Linked DNA regions of Caenorhabditis elegans. The protein of the gene in region 1 purifies or fractionates together with the protein of each later gene. This does not show direct contact. Each region holds a gene or a part of one and is shown in the gene's direction. Other genes may lie near its edges. The genes, in order: dnj-12 and selt-1.1.

Region 1 (4,086 bases):
AAAATTTCTGATTTTGTCGTCTCGTGGGTGGCAGTAGGTAGGGGGCAAGCAAAAAAAGAAGAACAATTTAAAAAGAAATACAACAATTTTCACTCAGAGATCTCCTCTTCGACTGACACTTGAATCAGACCGGTATGAATTGCGAACACTAATGACAACGTGAGAGCTCCGAGAGTGAAGAGAATCGCATCCCGCATTGGAGGCTCTTCTGGAAGTGATTCCGACGCTTCTTCTGTTGTTTTCGCGGCTTCTTTGTCTGCTTTTGCTTTCGAGATCCGAGATTGCCACATTTTCCGATTCGCTTGTTGTCTTTTGAGCTCATCTTCGCCAAGTGGCAGGTAGATTGATGACACAGTTTCCACGAATCTCACTAAATTCGGACATGCTGAGAGCTGGACTTGAAGACGATCATTTGGCAGTGGAACTCGGAGCAGTGGAGCAAGGTAGCCGAATACCAGGGCATCCAGTGACGTCGGCTTATTTCCACAGAAAAATTTATTATCGCCAAGCTTTGTGGATAGAGTATTCAACGCCATGAATGCTTCTTTCAAAATTTCAGTGTCATTCTTTCCAGCCAACAATCGCAATGCCTTCTTTCGTCGCTTTTCGAGGTAATACAGATTGTAGGGGAAATGCAGATGAGATGCGTACCAATATTGCGTCACTGTATTGTAATTGAGCTCGTCCGTCCAAAATGTGTGCATCTGGAAGGGAAAATTGATTTATTTCAGCTTAATTTTTCTTTAATCTTACCACTGCTGGATACAAATTGTGATGTAAATAACAGGAAAATGCGTCCAACTGTGCTTTCTCAATAGTGGTCAAGTCTGCATCGATAACCACGTCTTGGCCGCACTTTTTCAGAATATCCACAAATTTTTCGAAATCTGTCACTGGTTTTGCTTCTCCTTCGGTTTGAGCGACCATTGGGAGCTCACCGCTCGGCGATCTCCAAGGACGGGTCGATTGGATGACTCTTACTGGGCTGGCACACATTTTAGAGCACGCCTGGAACAGAAATGACGATAATTAACCAAAGTTGACACAAAATCTTACCAAAAACTGCAGAGACACAACGTCAATAGTTGGGAGACCGAAGTCTGACGGCCAAATGTGTAATTCCATTGATATTACAAACAAATTTTGAGCTTGAAATTCCAAATTCGGAAAAAAATCAAGATGGACTAGGAAAAAAATGGAGCCGCTCAGGTGAAACCTCGGTCACGGCCATGCCACTTTTTTGCGGGAATTTTAAATTGGAGTTTTTTTAATGTGTGAATCACGGAAGCTGCGGAAAATTTCGAACAAAGCCTCAATTTTTGCTAATTTCTCGAGTTTTTGAAGAATACGTTTGAAAAAACATCAAAACTGCAGTTCATTCATGAATGAAAAAAAAACAGATTTTTAAAAAGATTTTAAAATTACAGTATCTCCCCAATTGCTATCCTGTATAATAGTTGTTTTGAATGAAAATCTATGTAAGATTTTTTTTAGTTTTCCACAAATAATCGTGCATTTTTAAAATATTTCTCACGAATCAGTTTCCACGAGACAAAAATGTCCCCGCTTGGTGAGTTGCAAGTGCGCTCCACCGATAAAAGTGTCGAGAATGTTCACGAAAAATCGTTAGAACAGTTTTCGCGTTTTCTCCTCTTTTTCGCCCTTTATCTCTTGACTTTCCCCATTTTTGACTTCAAAATCGATTTTATCGTGTTGGATTTACGCAAAACAATTCGCTTTTTGGTATAATTTTCATTCTGACACTCGAAATTCGTCGATAAATGAAGAAAAATTATTATTTTCTTTTTCAGATTCGTATTTATCAAAATGGTGAAGGAAACAGGATATTATGACGTTCTCGGAGTAAAGCCGGATGCTTCAGACAATGAGTTGAAGAAGGCCTACCGTAAAATGGCGCTCAAATTCCATCCAGACAAGAATCCAGACGGAGCTGAGCAATTCAAGCAGATCTCCCAGGTTTGTTACGAAATCCAGCTGCAAAGTTGAAATTACTCATATTGCAGGCATACGAAGTATTATCAGATGAGAAGAAACGTCAGATTTATGATCAGGGTGGAGAAGAAGCACTTCAAGGCGGTGGTGGTGGCGGAGAGGGATTCCACAATCCGTTCGACGTATTCGACATGTTCTTCGGAGGCGGTGGTCGTGGTGGTCGTGGAGAACGTCGAGTAAAACCAACGGTTCACAATTTACGGGTCACACTCGACACACTGTACAAGGGTGTTACGAAAAAGCTGAAAATCTCAAGAACTGCCACTTGTAAAGGATGCAAGGGACTTGGAGGCAACGAGGGATCCGCTAAGGAGTGCTCTGATTGTCGTGGACGTGGAATCAAGGTTCGTGTTATCAGAATGGGACCAATGGTTCAACAAATGCAATCTCACTGCGACAGTTGTAATGGAGAAGGCTCAACATTCCTTGAAAAAGATCGCTGCAAAAAGTGTAACGGAAAGAAGCAGGTTTGACTTTTCTCCAATCGAATTCGAAACTATAATTAGTGATTTCAGGTGAAAGAAGACGAAATTATTGAAGTTGGAATCACGCCTGGCATGAAAGATGGCGAGAAGTTTGTGTTCGAAGGAAAAGGAGACGAAGTGATCGGTATTGAGAAGCCTGGAGACTTTGTAGTTGTGCTCGACGAGGTTGAACACGAGAAATTCGTCCGAAAAGGCGATAATCTGATTATTCAACACAATATCGATCTTTCCGAGGCTCTGTGCGGATTTGTGCGAACAATCAGTACACTTGATGGTCGAACAATTTTCTATCGTGTTCTTCCTGGAGAGGTTATTGCTCATGCCGATGTTAAAGTGATCCACAACGAGGGAATGCCAATGCGTCGAGCATCATCTGATAAAGGAGATCTTCTCGTACAGTTCGATGTGAAATTCCCCGATAAAATTAATCCAGATGCCGCGAAGAAGCTAGCCGATTTACTGCCTGGAAAGAGTTCGTTTTATTGCGTTTACAGTGTGAAATACTAATCATTTTTCTTTCAGGAGAAGAAATCATTGATGAAGACGCGGAAGTCGTTGAGCTGACCGAGTTAGATCCACAAGCATCTCGCAGGAATTTCGCTGAGCGCGACGACTTTGAAGGACACGGTGGATTCGGTGGACATGGACACGGGCCACAAGGCGTTCAATGCCAACAGTCTTGAATTTCACACCAATTTACACTTTTTCTGGTCACTTTCCTTCACTATTTTAGGATTTCAAACTTGGCTCCATTTCTTTCCTACTATCTGCATGGTTTTCATCTTTTAAAAACTCATAAGCCTAATTTCGACGATCTGTGATCTTGAAATTGATTTATTTTTTTGTGTTCCCCGTTCGTTTTACTTTTTATTCCCATCAACTTTAGTTCCTGCTCCATATGGTCTCGTTTCGTCCCCTCTTCATTACTTTTTTTGTTTGATATCGATATCCTACCCACATTCATTTCAGTGTTACGTTTTCCCTTAATTGACTGTCCGTCAGTCTTTTGTGAACAAGGGAGAATAAAAAAATTGATTTATTTTTGCCATTCCTTTCGCCTAAATCCGCCGATCGATGCGCTCACGGCAAGAACGCACGGTGGAAGGGAAAGAAAAGCGAAAAGTAGCCAAAAATGTGCAGGTGGATGCGAATCGTAGATGAAAATTAGAAAGAAAATGCTGGCAATCGTGTGTGACAACGTGGAATATAGAGATCGAGACGGCGACGGGAGATCCACGAGAATTGAGGCGAATTCGATGAGAATAGCGAGTTTTGTGAAGACCAGGCAAACTGTGAAGCCTATTCGGGCCTCCTCACTGATGGATGCACCGCCCGAAACTGATGCTTCCAAATGAGAAGCCTTGAAAAATAGATTTTAGATTTTAAATAATTTTTTTCGAGACTTCCTAACCTGAGAAAATATTGTAATCGTCGACAAGGCGAAATGTCCCATCAAACATTGAAAGTATTTAGTACAGGTGTCCGTTTTCGTGAACATTTCTTAAAGAAGCTTGCGAAAATCGATGAGTTACTCCACTAGCCCACTTCTCCCGTTGCCATGGCGACGTTCCTTCTTTCAATTACATTT
Region 2 (3,945 bases), on another chromosome or scaffold:
ACAAAGTTTGAAGAAAAAGGTTTTTACAAATATAAGATTAGCAAAAAAAAATCTAACTAAATTGAAACAAAATTTAAATCGAAAATTTAGGAAATAACACTAATGGTGAACGTATTTCTGAAGACAAGTTAAAAAAAGCAAAACGAAATACTCAAGAAGAGGGCGTTTTCATACCCATGACTCATGGGGGCATCGGTTGAAATAATGAGTGTTTCGATAACAGGTGTTGCTGGCACCCGAATACTGTCATGCCAAGCAGGCCCTTTCCAGGGTCATTGCAAAATACGATGTTGTTGCGTGACGTGGCATGAAGCCATTAGAACAATACAAACGCAGAATAGAAAATAATGGGGAAAGAATCCTAAAATGGGTAGCGAACAAAGTGATGAAAGAGAAACATGACAAAGCGTGGAACAAAAACCGAAAATTTGGAGAATTGAAAGAAAAATGTGAAGAACGAATCGTTTTGAATGCAAATGAGCATTTGAAAAACGAAAACCTCGGAGAAAGGGAGACCTCACACATCTGCGGATGAGTCATTGTGGAGCCAGAGGAAACGCGTCGTGGGCACTGACCCCAGAAATTGCAAAGTGTACGGACGGTTAATTTAGAACATCTGAGGATGTTAGTGTCTAAAGGCCATCCACACACATACACATACACACGTAGTGACTCCCCCTCCTTCTTCAAGTCATTGATATCTGTCGTAAAAGCCCATAAAACTAATGCATTTGAGGTGAGATGGGTTAGGTTGGGGGAAAAGATGGATGAGAAGGGCAAGTTCCTTTTTTTTTTGTTTTCCTTCAGGAGTGAGAAGTGGAAGAATCCGGATGCGATTCAATTAGTTTGTCACCACTCCACCTCGGCAAATGTGAGATGCGTATTGTTGGTGGTGTAACTTTTTGAGATTGAGATGCTAGCACGAAAAGAAGATAGATGCTTTTCAAAAATAATGAGAATCCACGATGAATTGCAAAAGCAAGATGTTTGTCATTAGATTTGAGAAATGGTCAATTACATTTTTCTAAGACACTGGGGGTGAAAAACATTTATTAAGATATACATATTTTTTTTTGAAAGGAAGTTTAAACTTGCAAACACTGCTTGTGTATTACATGCACTCATTTTTAAAGTAATTTTTAAGTTGTAAAAATAAAAAAGTGTGGAAATTTTTTTATATTTTAAAGCTTACAATTAGAAAATAAGCATTTCTGAGCCAAACGAGGAAAATTCCACATCACGTTCAATTTAAACGGAGAAATCAATGAGCATTTTCATTAATTTTAAAATGAAAGTATGTAATACACAAGTACCAAAATAAGAAATTAACTCATTGTAAAAAAGTCTCAATAAGATATTGCAATTGCACGACAACAAAGTTCACTTTCTCGGAAACCGATTTCTTGTGTTTGACTGTTTGACCTTCACGGAAACCAAGAATCCATTAAGAATCTCAAAAAGAAACTAATTCTATAACGTAGCGTATTGATCACATCAAAACAACTCCTCCCATATCATATCCAATGAACAATAAAAAACGAGTTAAAATGAGAAACAAGGAAAGAGAAGACTGTGCACATAAAATTAAAGGTTATGCGAGTGTGCGAATATGAGGTGACTCAACGTCCTCCAAACACACACGCATACACACACCGAGAACCGTTCAAAGAGAACGAGAGAGTGTGTGAGGCGCGGAGGCATCAGACACTGGCGAGTGATGGGGCGCGTTTGCTACGGGCGAGTCAAGTATTGATCGCTGAGACTCCGCAGTGGTCTTGGTGCTGCGCGCTCGTTTGGAATACCCTGTGTTGTCCGCTTGTGTGTCGAGAGGGTGTTTCTGTCATATCATACTCTCCTGCGCGTCCGCTTTCTTTGCTTTTTCTAGTGTAAAACACTTCATCAAATGTGTTCTTCTCTGACATTTTTATCTAATTTTTTTTGTTGCAAAAAAGATGATGAAAAATTTCATTTCCTTCTCTATAGTGTTTTGATGTTTTTTTTGCCATTATTGATTTTTCAGATGTCACGGTTTGGGGTATTTATCATAGGAGTTCTCTTCTTTATGTCAGTTTGTGATGTGCTGAGAAGTAAGTTGTGACACATCATAAATGAAATAAACAACCCAAGTAGCTGTTTCAGCGGAAGAGCATTCACACGATGAGAACCACGTACATGAAAAGGACGATTTTGAAGCAGAATTTGGAGACGAAACAGATTCACAAAGCTTCAGGTATTATTTTTTTAAAGGTCGAATTGTGAAATTAAAATCAATTTTATTTTCAAAAAAGTGAAAATCTAACGCATGACCGTTTTCAATTTTTCAAGCTTTCTAAGGTGCTCAATAAAATTTCTAAGTTCATGATAATTAGTTTCCAACAGGTTAACTGAAATTTTTCAAACAAGTGCTACAAAACTTAATTTTTTCAGTCAAGGAACCGAAGAAGATCATATTGAAGTCCGGGAGCAATCCTCATTTGTTAAGCCTACAGCCGTCCACCACGCCAAGGATCTTCCAACATTGAGAATTTTCTACTGGTAATATTTATACATATATAGGTTCTACTAGAAATTATGCATAATTTTTCAGTGTTTCATGTGGTTATAAGCAAGCTTTCGACCAGTTCACCACTTTTGCCAAAGAAAAGTATCCAAATATGCCAATTGAAGGAGCCAACTTTGCACCGGTTCTTTGGAAAGCTTATGTTGCTCAGGTACTGTTCAATTTGAAGTGACTTGGATTATTTATAAAATGTATTTTTAGGCTCTCAGTTTCGTCAAAATGGCAGTTCTCGTGCTGGTGCTAGGTGGAATAAATCCATTTGAGAGATTTGGTCTTGGATACCCACAGATTCTGCAGCACGCACACGGAAACAAGATGTCGTCCTGTATGCTGGTGTTCATGCTCGGCAACCTTGTTGAACAAAGTCTCATTTCTACTGGAGCATTCGAAGTTTACCTTGGCAATGAACAAATCTGGAGTAAAATCGAGTCAGGTCGTGTACCATCCCCTCAGGAATTCATGCAACTTATCGATGCTCAACTTGCGGTGCTCGGAAAAGCTCCTGTCAACACAGAATCATTTGGAGAGTTCCAACAGACTGTCTAAAACGCTATGTTTTCAATTTGACACCGTGTTACCATAATTATTTACAATGTATTCTTGCTGCTCAAACTGATTCATTCCCTCACTCGTCATCCGACGCCTTATTTTATTAAGTTAAATTAACTTTTTATTTGTTTCTCAACGTGTGTAAATTATTTGCAGTCATAAAAATTCTCGCCACTTTTATTTCACCTCTAATGATTTTCTATTCAAATAATGTTACGTTTTGTTTTTTTTTAAATAATTATTTACCATTAAGGAATCAAATTTTTGAAACCAGTTTTTTCATTTGAAATTTTTCAGAAATAATATTTTTTACTAGAGTATTAGTTTTGTTTATTTAAAAACAAATCACAAAGTAAAAAATTCGTTTAAGGAATGTTTCGCGCAAATGAATGCAACATTTACAAAAGCAATCTCCTTGGATAATTGCTTAGAATATTTTAAGAGTTCTTCGTCGTCTACTGAAGTTTCCATTTTTGATATCAAGCTGTGTACTTGAGAGATTGCGTTTCCACGATACCAGTTGTCCGCACTCGGGCGGAAGAGCACATGACGACTCTGCGGATCTCCAAGGATACCATGCGGGTTTATGAAACATTTTTCAAATCTGAAAAATCTAATATGTGAAAATTGAAGTTTTCATAAGCATGCATACCTTTGCTGTCTTTTCTAACAGTTCAAACTGTTTCTGGGGCTCAGTCAAGTACTCAGAAATGTTTTCAAAAGTCTGAGCCTTATTAATGTGTTGTTGTATTCTCGGGAAATACTCATCAAGAACTCTGTCCATTAACTCTTTTAAGCTGAAATTATTTCTACTTGGTAGAAAACGCAAATTGCAG

The links.
Region 2: the proteins of dnj-12 (region 1) and selt-1.1 fractionate together in Caenorhabditis elegans (co-fractionation; one large-scale study listed by BioGRID). This does not show direct contact.

What each region holds. Positions count from the first base shown.
Region 1 is NC_003279.8:14,755,252-14,759,337, forward strand, and holds dnj-12 (DNaJ domain (prokaryotic heat shock protein)), read left to right. Parts: upstream 1-1,811; 5' UTR 1,812-1,827; coding exon 1,828-1,977; intron 1,978-2,024; coding exon 2,025-2,480; intron 2,481-2,528; coding exon 2,529-2,970; intron 2,971-3,020; coding exon 3,021-3,181; 3' UTR 3,182-3,534; downstream 3,535-4,086. Other genes in the region: mtx-1 (Metaxin-1 homolog), read right to left, coding at 90-704, 754-1,008, 1,057-1,125; tmem-107 (Transmembrane protein 107), read right to left, coding at 3,535-3,858, 3,910-3,996.
Region 2 is NC_003284.9:11,544,571-11,548,515, reverse strand, and holds selt-1.1 (Thioredoxin reductase-like selenoprotein T homolog selt-1.1), read left to right. Parts: upstream 1-2,020; coding exon 2,021-2,087; intron 2,088-2,130; coding exon 2,131-2,230; intron 2,231-2,427; coding exon 2,428-2,535; intron 2,536-2,587; coding exon 2,588-2,711; intron 2,712-2,761; coding exon 2,762-3,106; 3' UTR 3,107-3,425; downstream 3,426-3,945.